Xenopus tropicalis: one gene and its partners. The protein of the gene in region 3 purifies or fractionates together with the protein of the main gene of each other region. This does not show direct contact. Links are inferred from orthologs where the notes say so. Each region holds a gene or a part of one and is shown on either strand. Other genes may lie near its edges. The genes, in order: thoc7, thoc5, ncbp3, alyref, thoc1, thoc6 and thoc2.

Region 1 (4,274 bases), on a different chromosome or scaffold from region 3:
GCTGTTAACTGGCCCATAGCATACAATCTCATTTCACAATGATGCCATCAGATGTGGCCTATGGAGCTCTTGACCATGTAGCAGGTCATATTTAACCCACGGGCTTTCAGTTGAATAGTCCAGACCTTTATGTTTACCTGAAGCAAAAAAAGACAAATACAACCCTACCCTTTTCTGGCTGCCCAGCAAGACTCACTTTAGTGCTTTCCTAGGGGACATTAGAACTGTTTTCGTCCTTCCTTGTCACCAAGAGATGTAATTAGTTAAACTTGGCAACCCATCTGCAATCCACTGAGCTACCTCATTGCGCTGGGAAGTGGCAAAGTGACAGCAGCCTTTCCACTTATCATACCTTTCAGTAGAGTTTTAGTATGGCTTTAGTGGTCCCATAAACATTCAGTTTCATATATACATCTGGTTTCCAACTTAGCAGTTATCTTATAAACACATTTGCAACCCAGTTGACACTGAAGTAAAATTAAAAAAAACCAATAGCAATCTTTGGTAAGCATGGGGTTCAAAATCTCCTTTCAGAGTAACCTGGATTCTGCCCTTCCTGTTGGACTGTTTCAGCACAGATTACTCAGCAATGATGGCCTTACATTTATACATATTTTCTGCTGCTTTCTCTTCCAGAGGGAAAATGAATTTTCCATAATTATGAAATCTCCACAAAGAATTTTACCAAGCAATAATTTTGGAATCATACTTTTCCCAGACATGATTAGAAACTGGTTGAAGCTTCAGTTCTGCTAATAAAAATAACATTGTGGAACTACTGCCACAGTCACTTGGTGCCTCTTACCCTTCTTCTTGGGAACCCGAGTTGCACCATTTCAGAAAACTCTTTACCAATAAGTTAATTCTTCGGTCGTCTCCGGCACCATCTCCATCAATCAAAAGTCTTTTGCGGATAACTTCATCTGGAAAAGAACAGAAGGAAATGGAAATAGTGGATTTTATTGCTGCTGCACAAAGACAGGTCACTGTGTAAGAGAAGGTTACCATCAAGCAGTTATACAGTAACAGAACAGGATAGATTTGGATACCCTGCCTAGCATCTCCAAGAATTCTAGATCCACAGAGAGAGACATCCCAGGTGGCAGTATATGTGCGCCATACTGGTGCCAAGTACCAAGTTACCTGGACTTAATTCAAAGGAATTGTCAAAGTAATTTTGCTTAGAAACATTGCATCTGCAAAAATCAAACATATCTAAATTTCATGAATAAGTGTGGATATGTGGTTTGGCCAGCCTGTGAAATCTAATGGAGGACTCTTGCAGATGGAAAGCTGATCACCATTTAGTTAAGGAGGCAAAGGTAAACCTAACAACAGAGATAGCAGACCAAGAGGGTGCAGGGTACCCAACAGGTATATTTAATAGACTTAACCCCATACTATCAGGGAGATAATGATATTTCCCATGAGTGGCCTGGAAAAACAATATTCCATATTACCATTTCTTGTAAAGTGGAACGTGGTCTTAAAAATGCCTGACAGTATCACTGATCTCCCTTATAAGACTGACATCTTATAAAAAGAACTGTGTGGTGTTCAGTCTGACATAAAATTTCAGAATCTTGAGGGCTATAAACCATGGCTGAAAGGCTGACTAAACTGATCATAACATGAGCTCTAAATGAAATTAAAAAGACTTGTGAGGGTGCTGATCATTATATAGAAATACACAGATTCACATATTATTATGATTATCTGGCCAAACAAACTACCTTGGGCAATGGTCACTGGTTTTTGATACAAAATGATACATGGTCATATCATATATCCTGTGCCAATATATAGCAGTCTATCTGCAATTTATGCAAGGCAACAATAGAAAATAATCCCACCTGAGTGCCCTGTGTGTAGCTGCCAGCAAATGAGACCCCCATTTTAAGTCACCAGTAACAGTGAAAAGTGAGTAGGTGAAATCTCTGTATACATACATTAAAGTATCCATAGGATTTATTGACAGCAGCACATGTATATTATATTGTGATATAGACAGCTTATCTGATTAGATTACTACATTTATCATATTTATAAGATAGAGACAGAGTAAAGGTACATAAATATAATTCATACAAAATAATAGTGGCTGTAAATTGTCCCTAGCACCTTGGGCAATGGTGACTGGTTTATTGATACAAAATAATATAAAATATATAGCAGTCTGTCTACAATTTATGCCAGGCAACTTTATAAAAACCCTACTTGAGTGCCCTGTGTGTGTAGCTAACAGTCAATGAGACCCATTAAGTCACCAGTAACAGTGAAAAAGTGAGTAGGTGAAATCTCTGTATACATAAAAGTATCCATAGGATATATACACAGCGGTACATGTACATTAGGATATAGACAGATTATCTGATTAGATTACTATATATATATATCATACCCATAAGATAGAGACAGAGTACATCCATTCATACAGAATAACAGTGGCGGTATAAATATATATTGTCCCTAGGATAGATACAGCAGCGATATATATACTATCCATATGAGACTAAGTAGCACTACATAAATATATATATAATATTATCCATATAAGATACGCTGAGCGGGGAGTAGGGCCGGAAGTCCGTACCGCTCTCCTTCCCCCAGAGCCCTAACTCGAGCCCGGGGCTTTGCGGCCTAGCCGGCCGGTGTGGGTTTCCCGCGGTCGGTACCCGGGCAGGCAGAGCTGAGGCCGAGCCGGAGGGTGTAGGCGGTGGGGTAGGAGGGCGCTGTACTTACCGTCGGTGACGGCTCCCATGGCGGTGGCGGCGAGTAGCAGTGAGGTCAGACTCCCAGAATGCAGCAGCGGCGGCAGCAGCCGGAGAGACAGGCAGGAGCATGGAGGCCTCGGTCACCGCCTCGCCTTCCCTATAAGCTCCCCCCAGTGTCGGGCGGCCCAGCGCCTCCTGCCCACAGCCGGACACACAGCCCCAGGCAGGCCTCCCCGGGCCCCGCAGGTAAGTGCCACTCAGCTGGGAGTCACAGCCCCATTCCCTTTCCTCATTCCTGACATGATTATTGCCCCGAGTATTTATATTTCTACATAACTGCACTGCAATCCGTGCTGCCCTGGGACCTGCTGCCATTATACCAGTACTGGCACTCCATTACTAGCTCTAGTACTCCCCATTACTTACACTAGCACTAGTACTCCCCATTACTTACACTAGCACTAGTACTCCCCATTACTTACACTAGCACTAGTACTCCCCATTACTTACACTAGCACTAGTACTCCCCATTACTTACACTAGCACTAGTACTCCCCATTACTTACACTAGCACTAGTACTCCCCATTACTTACACTAGCACTAGTACTCCCCATTACTTACACTAGCACTAGTACTCCCCATTACTTAGACTAGCACTAGTACTCCCCATTACTTACACTAGCACTAGTACTCCCCATTACTTACACTAGCACTAGTACTCCCCATTACTTAGACTAGCACTAGTACTCCCCATTACTTACACTAGCACTAGTACTCCCCATTACTTACACTAGCACTAGTACTCCCCATTACTTACACTAGCACTAGTACTCCCCATTACTTAGACTAGCACTAGTACTCCCCATTACTTACACTAGCACTAGTACTCCCCATTACTTAGACTAGCACTAGTACTCCCCATTACTTACACTAGCACTAGTACTCCCCATTACTTACACTAGCACTAGTACTCCCCATTACTTACACTAGCACTAGTACTCCCCATTACTTAGACTAGCACTAGTACTCCCCATTACTTACACTAGCACTAGTACTCCCCATTACTTACACTAGCACTAGTACTCCCCATTACTTAGACTAGCACTAGTACTCCCCATTACTTACACTAGCACTAGTACTCCCCATTACTTACACTAGCACTAGTACTCCCCATTACTTACACTAGCACTAGTACTCCCCATTACTTACACTAGCACTAGTACTCCCCATTACTTACACTAGCACTAGTACTCCCCATTACTTACACTAGCACTAGTACTCCCCATTACTTACACTAGCACTAGTACTCCCCATTACTTACACTAGCACTAGTACTCCCCATTACTTACACTAGCACTAGTACTCCCCAATACTTACACTAGCACTAGTACTCCCCATTACTTAGACTAGCACTAGTACTCCCCATTACTTACACTAGCACTAGTACTCCCCATTACTTAGACTAGCACTAGTACTCCCCATTACTTACACAAGCACTAGTACTCCCCATTACTTACACTAGCACTAGTACTCCCCATTACTTAGACTAGCACTAGTAC
Region 2 (4,285 bases), on a different chromosome or scaffold from region 3:
TTCAAATTTGACTTTTTTTTTGCAGCTAAAACCACGAATTCGAATTTCATGAAATTTCATGATTTCTTAAGCAAAGAAAACTCTGCACACTGCCTTGATGCTGACACAATTGAAACTAGATGAATAAAACAAGTTTAACTGCAAAGTCAGAAACCTGTTAAATTAAAAAGCCAAAGCAAGCATTCAACTATTTATCAGGCTCAGTTTCACTACAGCCTATGCATGGTGTCTAATATTGCCTTTGATGGGCAGAATTATCTTCCTCACAAATAATAAACACAAACAAAATAACCTAAGACCCTATAATTTATAGAACATATATAGAAAAGTAAAACTCTATTCTTCCTTTGCAGAGTATATTAGAAAGTAAGGGACAGACCTACCTCATGAGTTTGGTCTCGAGCTTTCTTAAGTCGAATGTGGGCCAAGCGATTGAGCTTCTTCAGAGTCATGAAGTGAACACAGCTTTGGACCTTTTTTTCTTCTATCTCCATAGCCTGAGGAAGGAAGTGGCCACTTTAAATATATCATGCAACTAGAACAATTTATAAAGCTCTGTGTCCCACTGCTAAAGGACATATATAATGTAGGAAAAAAAAAAATCACTGAGCTTTGTAAAGAAAGTTCCCATAATGCCTCGCTCCTGCACCAAGACAGGTGTACATGCTCAGTTTGTAAGACTATGAGGAAGCTGATTGGCTCAGATCCACATTCCTAAGGGGGGGGGGGGGGGGGGGGGAGTTCTTAGCATTCTTGAGGGAGGGGGAAGCAAGAGAGGAGAGAGCTGCGTTTCTCTGGCACAGGTGACAAAAAATCCTGTTTCTTTTGATCGAAAAATCAGTGCAGCGTTTCTGCGAGTGCTTATGACTGTATTTACATGGACCTTTCTGATAAAACTTACTTAGTTTTTACCTTTCCTTCTTCTTTAAAACCCTGGCTACTGAAGCTCCTAGCTTGAATAATTGGTGGTTCAAAAGGTAATCAAATGAAAGCTATGCATCAAATGGCATATTTGGAAATCAGCTGCTATAATAAAATAGCCTCTAGCCCAAACCTGGCCCTAAACAAAGAGACCTGACTGGTCAACCCAGAACACCACACATGACCAATAAAGCCTCTCTCAGTGAGACTAATGACAGAATCACCAAGAAGAGTCAGTAGAATAGATTTACCAACAAGTTAATTTATACAATACTTAAATCAGAGCAGAGTCAGCTGCCTTGTAAGAAGCCAATTAAAGCCACTTTCAGAGCGTTGCTTGGACTTTCTATAACAGCAATCAAACATAGTTTGCAAATAACTAGCCTTCAGGATAAAAAGACAAAAAAACTGTTTCATTAAATCAAACAACCATATTTCTAATAAATTCCACTAATACCTCAAAGGAATGGCATTGGATTCCTGCTGCAAAATTAGTTATCACTTGGATGCACATTTTGTAAATCACCTTTCTCTCATAATCTCATCAGGGCAAGGCTGTATTGTGTAATGTGTTTGGGGGGTGACCAGCTCCAACAAGCAGAAAGCATTACTGTATAATGATAGTAAATGCTTCTGTCAGAGCTAAACTCCAGCCCCACTGAGCATGCATAGTACTAATGGCACTCAACCAATGGCATAAAAACATGCAAGACAGGGAGTTGTTATGGACAACATTGAAGTCATAGATTGTTAATCATACAGGGATTTGTAAGCCTCTAGACTCGTACAGTACATTCAGTACATAAAAACACTGCTTTCATTTTCCTGTACTGTCTACATGATAATCCTCTTTAATACTCAGCAGCATATGAGAGTATAGTGGCCTTTTTTAGCACACTCACACTGTCTTTGCCTCCTTTGTTCTTTAAATCTTGGATTTCAGACATCAATCTCTGCAAATCAAGACAAGTGTCTTTGTATAGTTGATAGTCTTCTCTTGGATCTCGTACATCTACTTCAGCCTCTTCACTGTAATATCGACCCTCCTGCCATATCAGAAAGCAATAAAAAGTGTAAATATCAGAATAAAGTTCTACACCATAACAAAAATATATGAACACAGTAGACTGAACATCAGTGCATTAAACACACAGTAGGTTACCTGCTCGTCGTGGCGACCTCTCTTGCCATCCTCATTTCGATTTACTTTGGGCTTTCTTTTCTTTAAAGAATCTGAAGACATTTCTATCTGGTTTGGCATATACTATAAGACACAAATATTTTTTGTTCAACTGTACATAATCACTATACTAGTAAATAAATAATTCATAGAATTAAAAGTCAGATAATATATAATAAAGAAATCTATCCAGTAGGACCCTAGTACCTGTTTGCCTGCAATTTCCTGCAACCCAGCAAAGTGTGAAATTGCAAAATAGAAAAAAACAAAACCACAAAAACAAGAATGAATAACTGCAAGCTGGAGAGGTCTAATAAATGGCACAATGAAACTTAACAGATGTCCACTGCCAAGTATGAATTGAGAATCCAGTAGCAAATTCATAATATTTCTACAATATTGTCTAAATGTGGTTGACTATGGCAAGTTAACGTTAATGGTAAATTTAGAAGTATTTTACCCCCCACCCCCTGCAGGGCCAACATTGGCGGGGGGCAGCCGTCCAGGGCCGATGGGTTTTGGGTGTTCAGGGGGGCCTGGCTGCGCTGCACTTACTTGGATTATTTGGTCCCCTTTTCTCAGCTCCGACTTCAAAAAGAAAGGCAGTCGCTTAAATGAGTGTAAGCTCCTTCCCCTACTATCCCCACACCGTAAGAATCATCTCGCGAGACTTGCGTCACAACGATACATGACGCATCACGTAGCCGCCTGTGTGAGTGACGAGCCGGCGTAAGCGGACGTTACACAGTCGGAAGCGAATGATAAATCGGACAAGGACTTTGCATTCCACTGTGGCACCTGCTACCTCCGCTTCCGATTTCCTTAGCAGTCATTTATTTTTGTTTAAATGTACAGCTCTGCGCCAGGGAACTAAAATAAAGTATTTCCGTTATTGCTAACGAAGCCTATTCTCCAAATTTAACCAACACGGAAGGAGGTTTTGTGCAAACTAAGACCAATAAAACTGTACTCATTTAAGTTTGTGTGTGTTTATTCCATTATTATTGGATACACAAGTGAACCTGCGTTATGCAGCGTAGCTTTTCGTATCTTCCTGATGCTCTTGCGCCTGTGAATGGAGCGTTCTGTGACGAATGATTGATCAGACAGCCTGTACCTCAGCTAAGCACAAGGACAGTGCTTGTTCCTAGCTCTCCCCCACCCTTTTTCCAGAAAGAACAAAGCAGGTGCTTAAAATACGGCACATCTATAGGTCTGGGACTGCAAGCAGCCCTATTAAATGCTAAGTAGTGTAAGTACGGGGATATGATGGAATCCCTGGGTGCAGGTAGGGTCACTTCACAGGTTCATTATCCCAAGCAGGGCCGGCCTTACCAACTGCGGGGCCCCCTTAGTACATTGTGAATTATGCCACGATAAGGACTTTAGCAGGTAAGGGCCTGAACTCTCCTGGATGAGAATTCTGGCAGCAGTGTTTAATATAGACTGTAGGGGGGAAAGATGGGAGTTAGGGAGGCCGATTAGTAGCAGGTTACAAGAGTCAAGTCGGGATAGGATGAGAGCATGCATGAGCAGCCTAGATGTTGCAGTAGAGAGAAAGGGACGGATTTTGGCAATATTGCGCAGGAAAAAGTGACAGGTTTTGACAGTGGTGTTAATATGGTCAGAGAAGGAGAGACAGGAGTCAAAGATCACCCCCAAACAACGTGCCGAATCGACAGGGTTGATGAGGGTGCCATCAATAGAGATAGAAAAGAGGGGGGTAGGACCAGGCTTAGGCGGAAAGATCATTAGTTCAGTTTTTGTTAGGTTCAGTTTGAGGTGGTGTTGGTTCATCCAATTAGAGATAGCCAGGAGGCAGTTAGAGATTTGAGTCTCAGTTTCGACTGTTAACGAAGGGGTCGAAAAGTAAATTTGGGTATCATCAGCATACAGATGATATTTAAAACCAAATGAACGGATAGGATCTCCCAAAGACAGCGTGTAAAGGGAGAACAACAACGGCCCAAGTACAGAGCCTTGGGGTACCCCCACATTAAGAGGAACTGGAGATGAGGTGTTAGCATAGGAGACAGTGAATGAACGGTTAGAGAGGTAAGAGGAGATCCAGGATGCGGCCTGACTACGGAGACCAATCGAATGCAGAATCTGCATCAGGAGGGAGTGGTCAACCGTATCAAACGCAGCCGATAAATCTAGGAGGATTAGTATAGAAAAGTGACC
Region 3 (3,500 bases):
TATACCGTGCATACATAAGTATTTAAAGGAGAAGGAAAGGCTAATAAAGAGTTCATCTCAAGCTGCAGGCATACCTTCCCTTCTCTCAATAGTGCCCTTAAGTCTCCGCATATTTCTCCCATTCAGATTATCAGAAGCCACACAGGAAGAAAAAACTGAGCTCTGTAGAGAAAGTTCCCATAATGCCTCACTCCTGCACCAAGAGCAAGACCTGTGTACATGCTCAGTTAGACTATGGGGCTGATTTACTTACCCACGAACGGGTCGAATGGAGTCCGATTGCGTTTTTTTCGTAATGATCGGTACTTTGCGATTTTTTCGTATGTTTTGCGATTTTTTCGGATTCTGTACGAATTTTTCGGATCCAATACGATTTTTGCGTAAAAACGCGAGTTTTCCTATCCATTACGAAAGTTGCGTAAAAAAGTTGCGCATTTTGCGTAGCGTTAAAACTTACGTGAAAAGTTGCGCATTTTTCGTAGCGTTAAGTTTTAACGCTACGAAAAATGCGCAACTTTTCGCGTAAGTTTTAACGCTACGCAAAATGCGCAACTTTTTACACAACTTTCGTAATGGATACGAAAAACTCGCGTTTTTACGCAAAAATCGTATTGGATCCGAAAAATTCGTACAGAATCCGAAAAAATCGCAAAACATACGAAAAAGTCGCAAAATGTTCGTTTTCAAGTCGGAACTTTTCCAATTCGGGTCGGATTCGTGGGTTAGTAAATCAGCCCCTATGAGTCAGCTTCCTGCTGATTGGCTCAGATCCACCTTCCTAAGGGGGGGAGTGAGTTCTTAGCATTCTTGAGGGAGGGCGGGAGCAGGAGAGAGCAGAGAGCTGCCTGTCTCTGGCAGAGGAAAACAGACGCAACTAATCTTTTGTAATTTCTTATGGCTGTATTTACATAGACCTTTCTGATAAAGCTTACTTAGTTTTTACCTTTCTTTCTCCTTTAATGTGCAGTACATAAAGTACATAATGGTGCATACCATTATGTATGCACCGCACCAAAAAGCAATTGGTAATAAGCTGATTGATGTGGCCCTCTTTCTGCTCCTTAGATATATTTGTATCAATAGTAAAAGCTCACCCTTGTGTCCTATAAGCTGCCCAATTCATAAGCCATTTGCACCATACTCTACTCAATGAATGATTCTGTGAAAGCTCCATACAAAGAACTCATGCAGTTTATTACAGTGGCTAAAGACAGCTTTTTTGTGTTTTTCAGGGTTTATGGTAGAGCAGGGAATTTGGAATGTATTTCCACTGTTGTGTATGTTTTATGTGTGCAAACGAGAAATCTTACTTGAACATCCAACACTGAATATACATTAAATTAAGGTATTTAAATTCCTTAGTCAGTGAATTCTTTTCCTTTTTGTCTAAGGAATGATTAATGCTAAAAGCTGGGGTTTATGGTCCCCAAACTGACACAAGTTTAACATATTGGATAGGTTTTACCTACCAGCCAGTGAGAGAAATGTATTATATAGTGAAAGTTAGCATTGTTTAGAACTATACATACCTCTCACCAGCGCACCACTTCTGTGATAGACAGGGTCAAAGTCTCCAAAATTTGTTTTCTGTATTTTTTGTTACAGATGTTTAACTTTATGTGGGTGGTGTGCTTCCTAATGCACTTGGTACTGGACATACTGCAACTATGGACTGTTAATTGTTTCACTTTAGACTAAAACAGTGAATAAATTGTTGTATTTCCTTTCCATGTTGAATCCTTTGATTGCACATTTTAGAATGCTGTGTATTTTACTGTACAGATGTGTGCCAGCAATCTATGCAAGCTGTGTTCATGATTTAGTTTTGCATTTTCTCCTTAGGTAACGTTGTGTGGCTGGATGAGGTAACTCCGTCTCGTGCTTTGTTAAACCTAAGCAGTATGCCCACTAATGAAAAAGGCCAAAGAAAAAAAGATGGAGAGCACAGTTCTGCCAGATCCAAAAAGGGTAAATTCTTCTTTTTATCTCGCCATCTGACATAATCATTACTCTCATACCCATAATGGTTTTTAGGATAACTGCATGCACAATACCTCTTTGGAGCTTTTAGTCCCACAAAATGATATCTTGTTTCAGGTTAAAACATTTTAAAGGAGCAGTATGCACCTATAACACCCTTTTGCAACATGAGCAAAATAAACAGAACCTGTGCTGAAAGTACATGTGAAAAAACAATGTAAATGATTATTAATATAAATAAATAAAAGGGAGAAGACACACTGGGCGATTAGTCGCCACGACTGTTAATGAAGCCAGTTTCAGCGAGTACAATGGCCATCACCACGACTAATCGCCCCATGTGTCTTCGCCCTAAAAATACATAGTTTTTAGTTATTTGTGTTGTAAAACAGTAAGAGAACAATGTTTTGCTTCCACACTTACTATCCTACCATTAGTTAACTTACTTATAGATACTGAGCCCTTCTGTCACTATTTTATTGTGGCGGTTTTGTTAGAAGGAGTTCATTTATTCAGTTGTTTATCTGTGCTCTGGTAATCTGTTTATATTTATGGGACCTGTTATCCAGAATGCTTGGGACCTCAGGTTTTCCAGATAAGGGGTCTGTCCATAATTTTGATCTCCATGCTTTAAGTCTGCTAAAAAAAATTGTTGAAAGTTATTAAACTCCGAAGGATTGCTTTGCCTCCAATAAGCAGTAATTATATCTCAGTTGAGATCTAGTACAAGGTACTGTTTTATTATTTCAGAGCAAAAGAAAATATATTTAATATTCTTGAATTATTTGATTAATATGGCATCTATTACGCCTTCCCGTAATTTGAAGCTTTCCGGATAATGGGTTTGAGAATAAAGGATCCCATACCTGTATTAACTTGTAAAATCCAAACATGGAGTAGTTTCAGTTTTTTTATTTCTCTGTGTAGATAAAGAAATAACAAAAAACATTGTTGAACATGTTGAACAAGGGGTCATACTGCCCCATTAATAATTACCTTGGGCTGGTACAGAACCTGTTAGCCTACTTCTTTGGAGATTTAGTTTTCCTTTAAGTAGTTTTTGCTAACGGTGATGTACATTATGTTTTGGGTTTATGTACCAGCCCAAGGCAACCACAGCCCTTTAGCAGGGAAGATCTGTGCCTCCAATCCCCCTATCTTCTTTTCTGCTGATAACCTGCCCATGCTCTGTGCTGCTGTCACTCACCTGAGCTTAGGGACCGACACACAATATGCTGTATATACAGTGTATAATAAATACTATACAAGGCTAATTGGTAATTAGTAATTTTTAGAGTTTATTTAAGGTAAGGGTTAGTTAGTTCACCAGACTTGCTTTTTATGATTTCCTTTCAGTTGAATTTAAAGATTGAGTCCGCAACAACCAAAAAGTTATTTTTTTTAATAAACATCTTTATTATAATCCGTTAAAACAAACCCCATATACAAAGCCTAATGTGTTTCATGCTAATCTATAAATACATGGTATAGAGCACAACCCACCTTTATTAAAACCAATC
Region 4 (4,032 bases), on a different chromosome or scaffold from region 3:
ATAACGGCAGCTACAATCAGCCTGTGTATGGCCACCTTTAATCTAGCACAAACGCATGCTGGGAATCTTCCGTGCATCTACAATGACATCAGGGGGGTATGTTACAATATAATGTCAATTGCCAGTCAATACCAGTAATGCTATGCTAATAAGTTGCTAGGAGAAGCTGGAACATGCACAGTAGTGGAATATGGTGCCTGACCTCCTGGAAATTGCAAGTTGCAAAAAGCATGACGCTACCATTGGGTAAGCATTCTTAAACATAAGCTAAAGTAGGGTTTGGTAAATGGTCCTTACTGCAAAAACAGAAATTTGTATGCCAACATTTACCTTATATTTCACTGCCTGAGAAGTGCAGCATTACTTAGTAACTAACCTTTACAAGTACATGAGACCAGTTATCCAGAACGCTTGGGACCTGGGGCTTTCCAGATAAGGGATCTTTCTGGAATTTGGATCTTCATACCTTAAGTCTACTAAATATAATTTAAATATTGTACAAACCCAACAGGCTTATTTTGCCTCTGATAAGGATTAATTATATTTTAGTTAGGATCAAGTACATGGTAAAGTTTAATTACAAAGGAAAATTATTTTTTTATTAGAACTATTTGCTCATAATGCAAGAGATGGACTTTCCGTAATTTGGAACTTTTTGGATAACTGGTTTCTGGATAAGGGATCCCATAACTGCATAGCATATAGTTTAATGGACTGCGCTAACTAGGAATGAATAACAATGCGACATGCTTGCCCAGTGGTTCCCCAGCTGCATTTGGTTCTTGTAAAGTAGGCAGTTGATTACTAGCAATACCCCTCTGCAAAACATATCTACTTATCAATGAATTTGTTATCTACTTCCAAATAAAAACAACAAAGTAGCTTTAATCTACTAGTAAAAGTACTAGTATTTCAGCTTCACTTGTGCTGCGCAATAAAGGGGAATATTTCCCCTTTATCCTTTTTAGTAATATCTAGGGATTAAACATTTGCATTGCTATTACTTGCAGGGTAATATGGTATTACTTGCAGCCATAGTTCAGCAAAGAAATAGTGAAGGCATGACCGTTTAATGGTTAACTGATCTATGCAAGGACTCAAATTTTCTAAGGAAAAAAATAAAATGTATTTGGACATTTGTATAATGTAGCATCATGACATGAAAACACCTCATTGTGTAGCGTGCATCCCTTATATATAAATATATCCTTTTACAACACAACCCCAACAAATGTTACCAGCTTTACGCCTGTACACACCAAAACACTGAACCATGGGCACAATTTCTATAGAGACTACCAAGAGTGGCTGGTAGTCAGCTGAAAGCTCTGGCAGCTTCCATACATAGAGAAGGAAAGTGATTATAACTGCTTACCAGATACCCTGGGCCGGTGCACCTGTTCACTTAAAATGAAAGTTACAAACATTCCAGAATGTTAGCCCCCCTCAGTGAGACTGCACCAGTCGGGTGCAGACAAAGGGGTCCTCCTGTCTGAGCATGCCCAGTGGAGCAAAAAGCCAAAAGTTAAAAAAAAGCTGGTTTTCCACTCACCCATATGCAGTTAACCCCTTGTTGGTGCAGTTTTCTCCTTACAGGAGCACCCCCAGAGGTTTCAGGTAAGCGTTTACAATCACTGCAGGGATGTCCAATATCCCCCCCCCCCAGTGGTTGTACCTTTCCTTCTCTAAGGCTGGTGCAGTGTTTAGGGAACAGGGGTACTGGCCTGGGGTATCGGGTAAGCAATTATAAGCACTAGGGGACTAACATTTAACACCCCCCACCCTAAGCCCGGCTAACACTAACTGTTAGTGCAGTTGCTCAAACACTGTTGCAGCACAGCAATTCCATGAGCTGTAGGACAACTGGGTTTCCCATTTGGAAAAAAACATTTATCAGATATAAAAAATGTCAGGTGGGAAAGATATTCCAAGCTGAGCTGTAACTCCCAGGCCTGGCAATGGCACTAGGATTATCTACACTGTATGATTAGGGCCCACATTTGGCTCAGCCTCAGAACAAAAGTGAAGCTCATATCTCCATGTTTAACAACAAGAAAATCTAAGGAACTAACATTCATTTACAGAAATTCACGGAGAGATTAGCGCTTAGAGCTGTATAAGCCTCGGCCAGGAGCGCTGCCCCCTAACTTATACTCACAACCCCCCGCAGTAGCAGCCATGTTGGAAGTGCGGGAATCTTATGTTATTCTATTACTGTTACCGAGGAACTAGAGAAGCGCGGGCTCCCGGGGCCCAATCCCACCCGCCCAGCCCGGACCAGAAGGCCGACACCCGGGAGAAGCTGCTCCGGGATACGCTATCCCCTCCCCACGGAGCGCCGGACACAGGGGGCGGCCCCAGGCCCATAATCCCCCGTTGCGCAAACCTTCTCAGACCGGGCCCCAGCTCCTCGGTCCGGGCCTCATGGATGTCACCACTCCAGCAGCTGATCGGTCGGGCACACACCGAAACCTCTCCGGGCGGCTGCCTCCTCCGGTCACCGGCGCCTTTGTAAGGCCACAGGCCCTCCCTGCCCCCGCCTCTCCTACCCTGCTGTACGGTGCGGGCCGGTTCCTTCCGCCGCGGGTCAGGACAGGCCTTGACCGCATAGGCCCTCCGCCTCCCGCCGCTCCTCCTCCTCCTCCTCCGCGGCCTCCACCAATTCGGCCTCCGGCTCCTCCGCGGGCCGACCCGCCCCGAGCACCCCGTCCTCCACCCCGGCCCCTTCCGGCCGGTCTTTGGCTCCGATTAAGCTTGATGATATCATCTAGAGACATGTCCATTTTGTCCCCCATCGCGGCGATGTTTCTCAAGTTAACCGTGTAGCGTGCTCGGATGCGGCCTGTCCTGGAACAATACTACTATCCAGCCGGTGTGAGCCGCGCTTAAATAGCCCCGCCCCGCATATCCGGCACTCCCTGCGTCACTTCCGCCGGGTTAGGCTAACATTTAAACTAACAAACAAAAGTAACCTCTCTTTCAGTTCTTGCCACGAGTTGTTTCAAGGTGGGAGACTAAAGCCTAAACTGAAAATAAAGTTTATTTATAATGAGCTGCATCAGTTTCAGATTTTTCCAAGCGCCTCTATACCGATCGCTCCCCTGTATCTTGAAATGGAAGTGTTTAATTACGATACTTCTCACGTTGTTCCACAATTATGTTGGAACGCCAAACACGCTGATTATTTAATGCACATGTATAAAAAATGTAGTCCCTTGTGTGGTTTATAAGTATATTTGAAATCACAGACGTTTGTGTGAAAAATATGTTATATGTATTCTGATCCACCTCCTTGGTTTTTAAAAGGACACAAAAGATCATTTTTGAATGAACAGTGAATCAGAGAGAACATTCTCTCTAAGGAACAAAGCCATTTATAAAGCTTATAGACCTCAGTAGATTCTAAAATACTTTTACATTTTAGTAGGGGGTACATTATTATTTACAATCTACAAGTTTCAGGGGTCCCCGCTCCCCCCCCCCCAGCGCTTTCAGCAGGGGTCCCCAACCTTTCTTACCTGTGGGCCACACTCCTATGTGGACTGGCAGCCTAAATGAGGCTCTGTTTGGATTGCCTCCAATCCAGGAATTCAAAAATAAGCAGCTGCTTTGAGGCCATTGGGAGCAACATCCAAAGGGTTTGGGAAGAAACATGTTGCTCACAAACCACTGGTTGGGTATCACTGGCCCTCATGGGCCCTCACGCATATATCTAGAAAATATGGCCCTTTGCCTCGTGCCCTTCCATGTTTCTGATGTACAGGCAGGGCCGAAACTAGGGGTAGGCAGAAGAGGCAGCTGCCTAGGGTGCAACGATTTGGGGGCGCCAGGCAGGAGCCTCTCCTGCCTACCCCTGGCCTGCGTATGCAGGCCAAAGCACACACGAGGGGGGGTGGGGAAAGGTGCAGGGGCGAGGTGGCTGACCGGGTTGCCTACAGCTTGGCCCGCGCCTGTGTACTGGTGTGGCACTGCTCTATTAAAATGTTGTTTCAGTGTTACTTTAAGTTATAAATAGTGCAGTGTGATTTCAGA
Region 5 (3,500 bases), on a different chromosome or scaffold from region 3:
AAAATCAAAACATTAAACCCAATAGGATTGTTTTGTATCCAATAAGGATAAATTATTTCTTAGTTGGGATCAAATACAAGTTACTGGTTTATTTTTACAGAGAAAAAGGAAATTTAATTTGAAAAATCTGAATTAATTAATTAAAATGGAGTCTAAGAGAGACAGGCTTTCCGTAATTCAGAGCTTTTTGGATAATGCGTTTCTGAATAACAGATCCCATACCTGTATTTAAATTTCATTGTGTTAACAAACTTTGCTTCCCCTTATATTTGTCTCTGCAGATAAACCAAGTATCATGTGAAAACTGTCTAGCTATTATATCACTGGCCATAAATGGGGTTACAGATGGTAAGTATTAAATCAATGACAAATATATCATATTAAGAAGGTATAATTCATAGTGTCCAACCTCCTGTTTAGATTTTGGAATGTCTTACATTTCTGTGTAAAATGTGCCTATGGCAGACTGAGAATGAACAAAAGGAATTGTCCCTGAGAGAATTCAGCGATAGTCTTGCCTTGTTGATAGCTCAGAGCAAATTATTTCTATCTCTTAAATGCACTGAAGAGCCTGCATGTATGGGATTTGCATTATAAGGCAGCTTCTTCCTCAGTAAAATGAACCCAAGTAGAGTAAAAGCATTTGTACCAGGGTGCCAAAGCGGATTTGACTCTCCAGAAATACTACCTGAAATTCTATCTTTTATGTAAGCCTTTTGAAAAAACAAGAAATCAATTTGAAATCAAATTAAATTATCTCCTCCGTTGCCCCTTCCTGGTGCCAGCTTCTCCATACTAAACATTTTAATTCAACCTCATGTTCTATTTATTTATTTCTCTTCACATATCAGTTTTTTACTGTAATAATTTTTATTGCATCACATATATCCACTTTGCCCCTTCCACACTTGTGTTCAGTGGGACCAAAGGAAGTCTGAGTGTACATTTGACCCTCTTGGTTGGTGCTCCTGTTAGGAGAAAACAGTACCAGCCCGGTAGCTGCGAACGAGTGATCTTCTTCCTCCTGTCTTCTTTTTTTTTTTTGCGATCCCGGGGCTGACGTATGAACCGTAGAGTGAAAAATCCAGCTTTTTTGTTTAAGTTCATCTTCGCAGTCTACTGCGCATGCGCAAGCGACATAAAGACAGAAGAGGCTCGCTCTATCCCAGTTACCCTGGACTGGTGTGGGAGATTACAATCATTGGGGGGGGTGCCAAACATTTTGGCACCCCCAGTGACTGTACCTTTCCTCCTTTAAACACCCTCTTCTCTTTACTGCTCACCATCCTCTTTTTATCACATGTCATTTGAATAAAGGGACGATATTTAGTAAGACCAAGCAAGCTGCACTAAACACAATGGTTTACTTACTTGCTGTTATTTATTTTTTTTAAAAAGCGTGAGCTGCCCCTCGTGCTTGCTTTGGGTTTTTCCCATTAAGAATTCTGCAATTGGCTGCAAAATTGATGCCGTTTCTATGGAGACTGCCCAAGTTACTGTTCAAGTTACTGTTTTATTATTACAGAGAAAAGAGAAAAATAATGTTTAAAAATTAGAATTATTTGCTTTGTTATACAGGCAGGGTTGAACTGAGGGGTGAAGGGCCCTGCAGGTGTCCCTTAACCCCCCTCACAGGGTCCCCCACCTGACGTCCTACTCCGAGCACGTAAATTTAACATGGCAGGGAAGGAGCGGTCAGGCAGGGGGAGCACTGCAAGAGTCGGGTCTGGGCCGCCGGGGCCTACCGGGATTTTTCCTGGTGTCCCAACGGCCCAGTCTGACCCTGTATACAGGTGCTTTCTTTTGTTTTGGGGATGTTGCACAGTATTCTAACAATATATGTTTTCAGGTATTTGCACTGCAACGACACCATTTGTGCTCTTGGGAGATGTGCTTGACTGTCTGCCTCTAGCGTACTGCGACAAGATCTTCACTTTTGTTGAGAAAAATGTTGGTACCTGGAAATCTGTAAGTAAAGTTGTGTGTGCCCTTTTGAATGTATAGAGGCACTCCTATGCAAAAGAAGAATGATTCTACCATATTATCATTCTGTTCAACCCTCTCTATTTTTAGTATGTGTTTTACTAATTTACACACATCTGTACGTTCATGTAGTTAGCTACATTGATACCTGGTTACTGGTGCACGTATACTTCTTCTTGGACATAAATCACAGTGTGCAAAAGATTGTGTCAGGGAAAGTGACAGCGTGCATTATGCAATATATTACGTCTGCATCTCTAAAAACAAAAATGCTCATCAAGTAATTTTATTTTTAAGGCTACTACCAACTAATAGGGATTTGTACATTATTATTGTCATAGCCCTTAAAAACCTTTTACATGATGGAGCTGTGACGGGAGGGCACTCTTTGTATGTTTCTTTTTAATTGTTTCTTGTCAATTTAAAGACACAGTGCACCTTTCCAAAACTTATCATTTTCAAATGGTATATTGCAAATATTTTTATAAATCTTGTTTTCTGTTTTTTTACAGTTATTTTTTAATCTAGGTTAAATGCTAGGTTGTGACCTGCCAAATTTGATTTTGTGAGAATAAACTGCCCCGATAACCTTAAAATGATATGCCAATTCTAATTCTGTAAATTGTAAAGATACTTTAATGCTAAAACATTAACCACTATGCCTTTTCCAGGCCTTGTGTTAACTAAAGCCACTAAACAAAAAAACTGCTTATATATTTAACCTGTATCAGCCATATGAAACTTTGTCATGACTATGCTTTTGAATTCTGCACCTATTTTAGTCCTGGTCCCCATGTCATGATCACAGCCCTACTCCAGTTTCACCATTTTGTTACTGTGAATGCATAAATGTCACACTGAACTTGTCTCTACATGTGCAAGTAGAAATGGCCTAGGGAAGAGGGAACACCTATATCTGTCTGCACACAAAGAGTTTTTGTTCTGTGACTTGCTGCATGAAAACTGACCATTAATTCCACCCCCATGTTCTGAATCAAAATTCCAGTATATTTCTTATCACTAAATATCAGACAAAATCATAATTTTTCTTCTAGAATACATTTTACTCAGCGGGGAAAAACTACCTGCTACGGATGTGTAATGGTGAGTGCCCTATTTTCTTGTTTTTTTTTTTTAATAAAAATATTTGATTATTTTTAAGAATGCACCAAATCTAGGATTCAATTTGAGATTTGGCTAAATTCTTGCAATAATATAATTTCTATTTATTAGTTACAGGAGAACTTACAAGTTGCAAATAGAACACTTCTTTAGTAAGCAAACAGCAGGTCAATGCATTTCAATAAAGTTACAGCTTGTACAATAAGCAAAGGTATTACAAGCGTGCATACTAGTGGGATTTATTCCCCTCAATACAAATGGTCAAATTGTATCTCAGTGAGCTCCTTAGTAAATCCTTTCCTGCGTCTTGTAGGATAGCCAATATTGTATTGTACTTAGTGGCATGAGATTTTAATATAGCAGTACAAACACATTTATTCCTGGGCAGTAAGTAA
Region 6 (3,500 bases), on a different chromosome or scaffold from region 3:
ATTCTCCTCTCTAATAACCTTCCTGCCTCTCCTTACCCGTCTTCACTTATCTTCCTTTCCCAGCAGCCTCCATCCCTCCCTTCTTTACTCCAGAGGTGGGCCTAGCCCCCTGGGTGCCCTAGGCCACCTGGTCGGCCTCCTCACCCCCCCATATGTGCAACACGTGCACACTAAAGAGTGCACACATGAGCGTGTGTGGGGGAGCATTACAGTGGGGCCAAGAGAGTCCTGACTTAAGGTCCCCATACACAGGCCGATTGTAGCTGCCGATATCGGTCCCTTGGACTGATTCGGCAACTTATCGGCCCGTGTAGGGGCATAAACGAGGGGCATGCCTGACTAATATCTGGCCTGAAATCGGCCAAATATCGATCGGCCAGGTGCCCCCGAACCGACTGCCCCATTGCTGCCAATATATGGCCCTGGGGCCAAACGATCTAATTATTATTTTTTTTTTTTACCTACACGCTCCCCGATATCGCCCACCCATCTAGCCAAGCAAGCGAATCTCAACGTGTATGGGGACCTTAAGGGTAGGCAGAAGAAGTACCTGCCTAGCGCCCCCCCATCTCCATCATTTCCCATTAGTTCCGGCCCTGCTTTACTCTAACTCCCCCCACCAGCAAGCTGCAGTTCAACCAGCCCCCACTTACTTACATAAAACCCATTCCTAGTCATTATCTTCTCACCTCTAAATATCACCCTGATGAACTCTGCCCTGCTGCCTGCTCACTAGGGTAACTACCTATAGCCTTACACCACCCACCCATTTTATTGCCCAGTACAACCAGTACCCCAAACCTCTGTTTCTCCCTACATTTACTTCTAAACTCCTCCCCCCTAAACACCTTTATGGAAAGCCCTCATGCCTATTCCTCACTGTTTTGATTTTGTTTCCTTCATTGCTATTTCCTCTCAGGATAACTCCTTGCTCCTTGCTGGGGGGACATGCAACATTCATTCTATGGACTTGGAGAGTGGAACCTTTACGGTAAGTATGGGGGTGTGGCTTAGTATGAGTCTTGTGATTGGTGTCTGTTGCACGTGCTGCAGCCAATGGAAGCCTATGAGCTGAATGTGGCCCACAGGCCCTCCTGGCTCTCTCAGCTCCCTCAGGTCCTCACTGCTATTGTTCATGGATAGAAATGAACCTGAGAAGTCAGATTGGTCATCAGAATAATAAAACCATAAAATCTGCACTGTTGGTAGTTTTGCTTCCTGGACTTGAGGCTTATGTCATACGGGGTGTGGGGCTGACGTCTGTTGTTGTCTAAACACCCACACCCTGCAGCAGGTTCTTCCCATTGCCAAGTACCTTGAACCCATTCTATACACACACCTTAGGGCCAGAGGGCGGCAACTTGGGTGCCTATATATAAATACGTAGTGAAAGGGGGTTGTTCACCTTTAAAATAACTTTTAGTATGATGTACATGGTGATGTTCTAAGACATTTTGCAATTGGTCTTCATTTTTTATTATTTGTTGTTTTTTAAATATTTAGCGTTCTGTTCAGTAGCTCTCCAGTTTGGAAATTCAGCACATTGCTTAGGTCTAAATTACCTTAGCAACCAGGCATTGGTTTGAATGAGGGACTGGAATGTGAACATAGAGGGCCTGAATAGGCAAGGTAATAAAAAGTAACAACGTTTTAGCCTCACAAAACTATCCTGTATGGCTTCCGGGGTCAGTGACCCCCTTTTGAAAGCTGGAAAGAGTCAGAAAACGAAAGGAAATAACTCAGAAACTATACAAAATAAAAAGTGAAGACTAATTGCAAAGGTGCTAAGAATAGGCCATTCTGTAACATACCCCTTAGGATTAGTGACTTTACTAACCGGATGGCACATTTAAGGGATTGTTTAACTTTGGGTTAACTTTAGAGAGTGATATTTTGAGACAATTTGCAATTGGTCTTCATTTTTTATCATTGGTAGTTTTTTCATTATTTTACTTTTTGTTCCGCAGCTCTCCAGTTTGGAATTTCAGCAGTTCTCTGGTTGCTAGGGTCCAATTTACCTTAGTAACCAGGGGGTGGTTTGAGAGAGTGATATATGAATAGTAGAGGGGCTGAATAAAAAGATAAGTAATAAAAAGTAATAATAACAATAAAACTGGAGCCTCACAGAGCAATAGTTTTTGGCTGCCGGGGTCAGTGACCCCCATTTGAAAGCTGGAAAGAGTCAGAAGAGGAAGGCAAATAGTTCAAAACTATACAAAATAAAAAGTGAAGACTAATTGCAAAGGTGCTAAGAATATGCCATTCTGTAACATACCCCTTAGGATTAGTGACTTTACTAACCGGATGGCACATTTACCTTTGGGTTAACGTTAGTATGATGTAGAGAGTGATATTTTGAGACAATTTGCAATTGGTCTTCATTTTTTATTATTTGTAGTTTTTTCATTATTTTACTTTTTGTTCCGCAGCTCCCCAGGTTAGAATTTCAGCAGTTCTCTGGTTGCTAGGGTCCAATTGACCTTAGTAACCAGGTAGTGGTTTGAGAGAGTGACTGATATATGAATAGTAGAGGGGCTGAATAAAAAGATAAGTAATAATAACAATAAAACTGGAGCCTCACAGAGCAAAAGTTTTTTGCCGGGGTCAGTGACCCCCATTTGAAAGCTGAACAGAGGAAGAAGTAGAAGGCAAATAATTCAAAAACTATAAAAGATAAAAAAAATGAAGACCAATTGGAAAGTTGCTTAGAACATATTGGTAAACCACCCCTTTAAATTTAATGTTGAAGAAGTTTTTTTTTTGGTTGCTAGGGGCAGTGACCCTGACAACCAAATAGCTTTTTTTAATTGCATGCCATCAAGAGACAGAATAGGAAGGCTATTCATTTAAAAACCATATTAGGTCCATGAAAAAGTTCCTTTTCTAATCGGCAAAGTTTCTGTAAAGGCAAAGTTCCCCTTTAACCGTCTCATTGGTCTGTAGATGGCGCTGGAAGGACACGAGGATTATATTCACTGCTTGGCCCTGCGTGAGCAGCAGAGGGAGTGCGTGTCCGGCGGCGAAGATGGAACTGTCAGGATATGGGGTGAGAGTGTGAATGGAGTATCATAGTATTTATTGATATTGTCTAAATCATCCTCTTCCTCCTCCTTCTCCTCCTCCTCATCATCATCTCTTCTTGCAGATCTTCGAAATGGGGCTCAGACTCACAAGATTGAAGTCTATAAATATGAGGTAACACTGAGAAATATGAGGTTCCCACTGCACTATCCCTATAAAGACGATTTGGGTGGAATTAAAGGGCAAGTCAACCCAAAATTCCTTATAAAAGAAAACAAAATTCTAAGCAACTTTGCAGTATACATTCATTATACATATGTAGTGGTTTTCTGTTATTTGTATATATGTAATTTCTATTAGAAGCAGTGTGTGTCTGGCCTTTTCGATTCCCCGGCATATGAAACAATGTTACACGAGGCAGCAGCCTGACAGACCTGTCTTTCTGGAGGAGCCAGACCTTTGCAACATTGTTTAAAAAG
Region 7 (3,500 bases), on a different chromosome or scaffold from region 3:
GAACCCAGTGGAGAAACCCCTTCTTCTTTGTACAGAGTAGCAGCTGTGCTTTTGCAAAACAATCTCATTGAACTGGAGGATCTTTATGTGCATGTAAGTTTAATGTGGCGCCTTTTTTTTTTTTAATTTATAAACAAATTTATAGCTGCCACTTTTAAATCCCTGTGTAGTAGGCTATAATAAAGCAAGCCAACTGCAGGTCCAAACCCAACTTTGCAAGTTTTCATTCCAGCAATAGTCTACTTGAATGAAACATTTACAATGCAAAGGGTATATTCATTGGATTGAGGTATCATAAGTTCATGGAAATTTACCTAAGGATCTTTAAGAATAGTGTTATCCCACTTTGATAACGCTAGCAGTGATCCCCAACCAGTGGCTCGTAGGACCATGTTGCTCACCAACCCCTTGGATGCTGCTCTCGGTGCCCCCAAACCAAGTAGTTATTTTTGAATTCTTGACTTGTTGGCATTAAGGTTGAATAAAAACAAGATTTACTACCAAATAAAGCCTCCTGTAAGCTGATAGTGTGCATAGAGGCTGCCTAATAGCCAATCTTAGTCCTTATATTAAACCTCCATGAAAGTTTATGATGCTTGTGTTGCTCTTCAAGCATTTTTACATTTGACTGTGGCTCATGAGTGAGTAAGGTTGGGACCCCTGACATTAGAATGATTATATAAAAGAAGTCTGTGAAGTCACTGTTCAATAAAAACGAATTAAGAAGCTACATCCAACCCATGACTCTACAGGTAGACTGTTAAATACAGTTGGTAAATAACTGCACTGTGTTGTTTCAGCTTCTTCCAGCAGAGAGTACCATTATTGAGGAACACAAGAGGGAAGTGATAGAGGCCAAGCAGATTGTCAGGAAGCTTACCATGGTGGTCTTGACCTCTGATAAAACTGAAGAAAAAGATAAGGAAAAAGAAAAGGATGAAGAGAAGACAGAAAAGGTATCTTCTTTGACCACCGTTTGTTAAAATTAAGTTTTGCTTTAAATGATAATCTTAGCATCTCTTCAGTAACATTATTGGTTTGATTTAGTTTTTTATTTTGCCATTCTCAATCTAAGGATATTACATTGTTATTACCCCACCCCCATAAGGGTAAATGTAAATATGTTTTGAAGTTGAATAATAATTTTTGGACCTACTCTGTCTCATGTAATGTGTAGATGCTCATGGTGTGGCTGCTGCAAATAGGTGATACATAGAGCCTTCAATTCTTCTCTTCCTTAAAAAAAATAAGCAGCCATTCTGAAAGGAACTTAGTTCAGTTCTTTAGTTCAAACAAGCTTTTCCACTTTTTTGGGCCACTGAAGAACATTAATCCATTAAGACATAGGTTTGAGTATTGCACAATATAAGCACTAGCTTTCCAACCTCCATGGTCGAACACCAAAAATTGTATATGCCTAGCTAAGTACCTGTAAATAGAATCTGATCAAAGAGGTGTGTGTGTTAAATGGTGGCAGGCCTGACTGTGCTTTAGAAGAATTTATGGCAGTATACACTGTTGTTTACTGAGGCTTCTTTGTTCTCAGCCTCCTGACAACCAGAAGCTGGGCTTGCTGGAATCACTGCTAAGGATTGGTGACTGGCAACATGCGCAAAGTATTATGGACCAGATGCCTCCATATTATGCTGCTTCACACAAACCAATTGCCGTGGCTCTGTGTGATCTTATTCATAAAACTATTGACCCACTTTACCGAAGGTAAGTCCAGATTGTCCTTATGCTAGGTTAGCATTCTTACAAAATTTTTTTTTTTTTTTTTAAACAATTCTTATTTAAAGGGCCTAACTTTTAATGCTAAATTGGGCTTAGGGAAAAATTATACTGGCATAGATTTAGGTTACCTCTCACCGTGCCTTGTATTAAAAGTTCCTTATTTGGCCATTATTGGCAGACCATGCCTGCAATGGTTATTTTGTTGGCCAGGGGCTACAGACCCAGTGCACCTTTTTCCTCAGCAAGTTGCGTGTAAAACGAATTTCATTTAAGTTACTTTCATCAAAATGTGCTCTGTGCCGCTCAGTTTTTCCTGCCTTACCATTCCGATTTGGGAGTTGCTGTGTCTGTTGACATAGGGAGCCCTGGAACTACTGCAACCCCCTGACCAAGTGGTCACTAGGGTTCCCTTTGTGCCATGTGTGAATAGGTGCAGCACACTTGTGCCTAAAGAATCAGACACAGACGTCACTAGCACCCGAAACACCAGAAATTACACCAGGCAGACTTCTAAAATAGCGCAACTGAATTTTGGCAAATCTGACACAATTGTGCCAGGTGTGATGCCCCCCTTGGTGCTGCAATGACTATTGCATTCTGGGGAAAAACATAATGACAGTAATTGATTTTTACTCACTCCATCTGCGAATGTATATTAGTCCTCATGTCTTCTTGGGATTATAAACACAATAAGGAAGTGATATAAAATTTGGGGCCAGGCTATGAGTGAGCCATTGGTTTAAACAAGAATATAACTGCTGAGAAAATAGTAAATGTGAGTCCTTAATATATCCAATAGGAAAATACAAAATAAGGGTGTAATGTGTCTCTGATGGAAGAATATAGAGGGAAAATAGTCACAGCTGGGGAGTGACTTTTGCTTTAGGCGTAGTATATGACATATTTTATCTTATTAAATTGGTGTGGGTGTACTGAGCCATCATGGTTAGGAGACTTCAGGTTGCCCAAAGGACTGCAGTGTTAGACATTTAGCGCACTGGAGACTATAATACTAAAACAAAAGAGAGTTGAGTGATAGTTTTTTTAATTTGCACTTAGATGCAAATGACATCTAATTGTTAGATGCAAGTTTAAAGTATGCTCTGACTACACGTAAGCAACTTGTATTTGGCAGTCGGAGTTGAAATACTTGCAAGCACGTACAAAAATCTCTAATTTCACTGGATGTGTATTGTATTCACGCATTTGCTATTAGCTGGTTTTTTTTTTTCATTTCTCTGCAGGGGCTCTAGACTTTTATTACATTCCCCCTTAATGTTTAATTTCTGTGAAATATCTATTGGACTGTTTTTGTATCTCTATTTGGTTTCATAGGTCGGGGGTACCCAAGGGTGCCAAAGGATCTCGTATTGTTCCTTTACATAGCAAGAAAGCCCCAAAACCAGCGGAAACATTTGAAGATTTGAGGAGGGATGCTTTCACTATGCTTTGTTACCTGGGCCCACATCTTTCTCATGACCCTATTTTGCTGGCTAAAATAGTTAGACTTGGAAAAGCATTAATGAAAGAGGTATGTTTGATGCATTTATTTGTATGGAAAATACTATACTTGTTCTTAGCCCAGTGGTTTGTTGTCTCACTGCTGTCTTCGCTGAGAACAGGTGCAAAATGAAGTCATCACTTGTTCTATCATGGAAGCTAAAATTCTGATTTCTTCTGGTAGAGAAGTGAAATATTGTTACCAGATGGTTGCAGAGAACCTATTGGCATTGCTACTACCTGTAATAAGGTTCCCAAGATAGATT

The links.
Region 1: the proteins of ncbp3 (region 3) and thoc7 purify together in Homo sapiens (co-immunoprecipitation; 3 studies listed by BioGRID and IntAct, with this or other methods). This does not show direct contact. The link is inferred for Xenopus tropicalis from reciprocal best matches to the Homo sapiens genes NCBP3 and THOC7.
Region 2: the proteins of ncbp3 (region 3) and thoc5 purify together in Homo sapiens (co-immunoprecipitation; 3 studies listed by BioGRID and IntAct, with this or other methods). This does not show direct contact. The link is inferred for Xenopus tropicalis from reciprocal best matches to the Homo sapiens genes NCBP3 and THOC5.
Region 4: the proteins of ncbp3 (region 3) and alyref purify together in Homo sapiens (affinity purification with mass spectrometry; 4 studies listed by BioGRID and IntAct, with this or other methods). This does not show direct contact. The link is inferred for Xenopus tropicalis from reciprocal best matches to the Homo sapiens genes NCBP3 and ALYREF.
Region 5: the proteins of ncbp3 (region 3) and thoc1 purify together in Homo sapiens (co-immunoprecipitation; 4 studies listed by BioGRID and IntAct, with this or other methods). This does not show direct contact. The link is inferred for Xenopus tropicalis from reciprocal best matches to the Homo sapiens genes NCBP3 and THOC1.
Region 6: the proteins of ncbp3 (region 3) and thoc6 purify together in Homo sapiens (co-immunoprecipitation; 3 studies listed by BioGRID and IntAct, with this or other methods). This does not show direct contact. The link is inferred for Xenopus tropicalis from reciprocal best matches to the Homo sapiens genes NCBP3 and THOC6.
Region 7: the proteins of ncbp3 (region 3) and thoc2 purify together in Homo sapiens (co-immunoprecipitation; 3 studies listed by BioGRID and IntAct, with this or other methods). This does not show direct contact. The link is inferred for Xenopus tropicalis from reciprocal best matches to the Homo sapiens genes NCBP3 and THOC2.

Annotation. Positions count from the first base shown.
Region 1 is NC_030680.2:145,033,231-145,037,504, reverse strand, and holds the start of thoc7 (THO complex subunit 7 homolog), read right to left. Parts: upstream 2,801-4,274; 5' UTR 2,762-2,800; coding exon 2,743-2,761; exon of another isoform or gene 2,584-2,742; intron 924-2,583; coding exon 806-923; intron 1-805. Other genes in the region: atxn7 (ataxin-7), read left to right, coding at 2,801-2,960. UniProt on the Homo sapiens protein: Component of the THO subcomplex of the TREX complex which is thought to couple mRNA transcription, processing and nuclear export, and which specifically associates with spliced mRNA and not with unspliced pre-mRNA.
Region 2 is NC_030677.2:144,818,867-144,823,151, reverse strand, and holds the start of thoc5 (THO complex subunit 5 homolog), read right to left. Parts: upstream 2,801-4,285; 5' UTR 2,657-2,800; intron 2,326-2,656; exon of another isoform or gene 2,309-2,325; intron 2,186-2,308; 5' UTR 2,183-2,185; coding exon of another isoform or gene 2,165-2,182; coding exon 2,084-2,164; intron 1,968-2,083; coding exon 1,824-1,967; intron 498-1,823; coding exon 384-497; intron 1-383. UniProt on the Homo sapiens protein: Component of the THO subcomplex of the TREX complex which is thought to couple mRNA transcription, processing and nuclear export, and which specifically associates with spliced mRNA and not with unspliced pre-mRNA.
Region 3 is NC_030678.2:48,495,625-48,499,124, forward strand, and holds part of ncbp3 (nuclear cap-binding protein subunit 3), read left to right. Parts: intron 1-1,842; coding exon 1,843-1,968; intron 1,969-3,500. UniProt on the Homo sapiens protein: Associates with NCBP1/CBP80 to form an alternative cap-binding complex (CBC) which plays a key role in mRNA export. NCBP3 serves as adapter protein linking the capped RNAs (m7GpppG-capped RNA) to NCBP1/CBP80.
Region 4 is NC_030686.2:27,893,665-27,897,696, forward strand, and holds the start of alyref (THO complex subunit 4), read right to left. Parts: upstream 2,801-4,032; 5' UTR 2,796-2,800; coding exon 2,550-2,795; intron 1-2,549. UniProt on the Homo sapiens protein: Functions as an mRNA export adapter; component of the transcription/export (TREX) complex which is thought to couple mRNA transcription, processing and nuclear export, and specifically associates with spliced mRNA and not with unspliced pre-mRNA.
Region 5 is NC_030682.2:108,266,480-108,269,979, forward strand, and holds part of thoc1 (THO complex subunit 1), read left to right. Parts: intron 1-281; coding exon 282-348; intron 349-1,849; coding exon 1,850-1,968; intron 1,969-3,038; coding exon 3,039-3,087; intron 3,088-3,500. UniProt on the Homo sapiens protein: Component of the THO subcomplex of the TREX complex which is thought to couple mRNA transcription, processing and nuclear export, and which specifically associates with spliced mRNA and not with unspliced pre-mRNA.
Region 6 is NC_030685.2:12,483,242-12,486,741, reverse strand, and holds part of thoc6 (THO complex subunit 6 homolog), read left to right. Parts: intron 1-919; coding exon 920-991; intron 992-2,943; coding exon 2,944-3,046; intron 3,047-3,145; coding exon 3,146-3,195; intron 3,196-3,500. UniProt on the Homo sapiens protein: Component of the THO subcomplex of the TREX complex which is thought to couple mRNA transcription, processing and nuclear export, and which specifically associates with spliced mRNA and not with unspliced pre-mRNA.
Region 7 is NC_030684.2:48,835,130-48,838,629, reverse strand, and holds part of thoc2 (THO complex subunit 2), read left to right. Parts: coding exon 1-93; intron 94-800; coding exon 801-956; intron 957-1,546; coding exon 1,547-1,719; intron 1,720-3,069; coding exon 3,070-3,265; intron 3,266-3,500. UniProt on the Homo sapiens protein: Component of the THO subcomplex of the TREX complex which is thought to couple mRNA transcription, processing and nuclear export, and which specifically associates with spliced mRNA and not with unspliced pre-mRNA.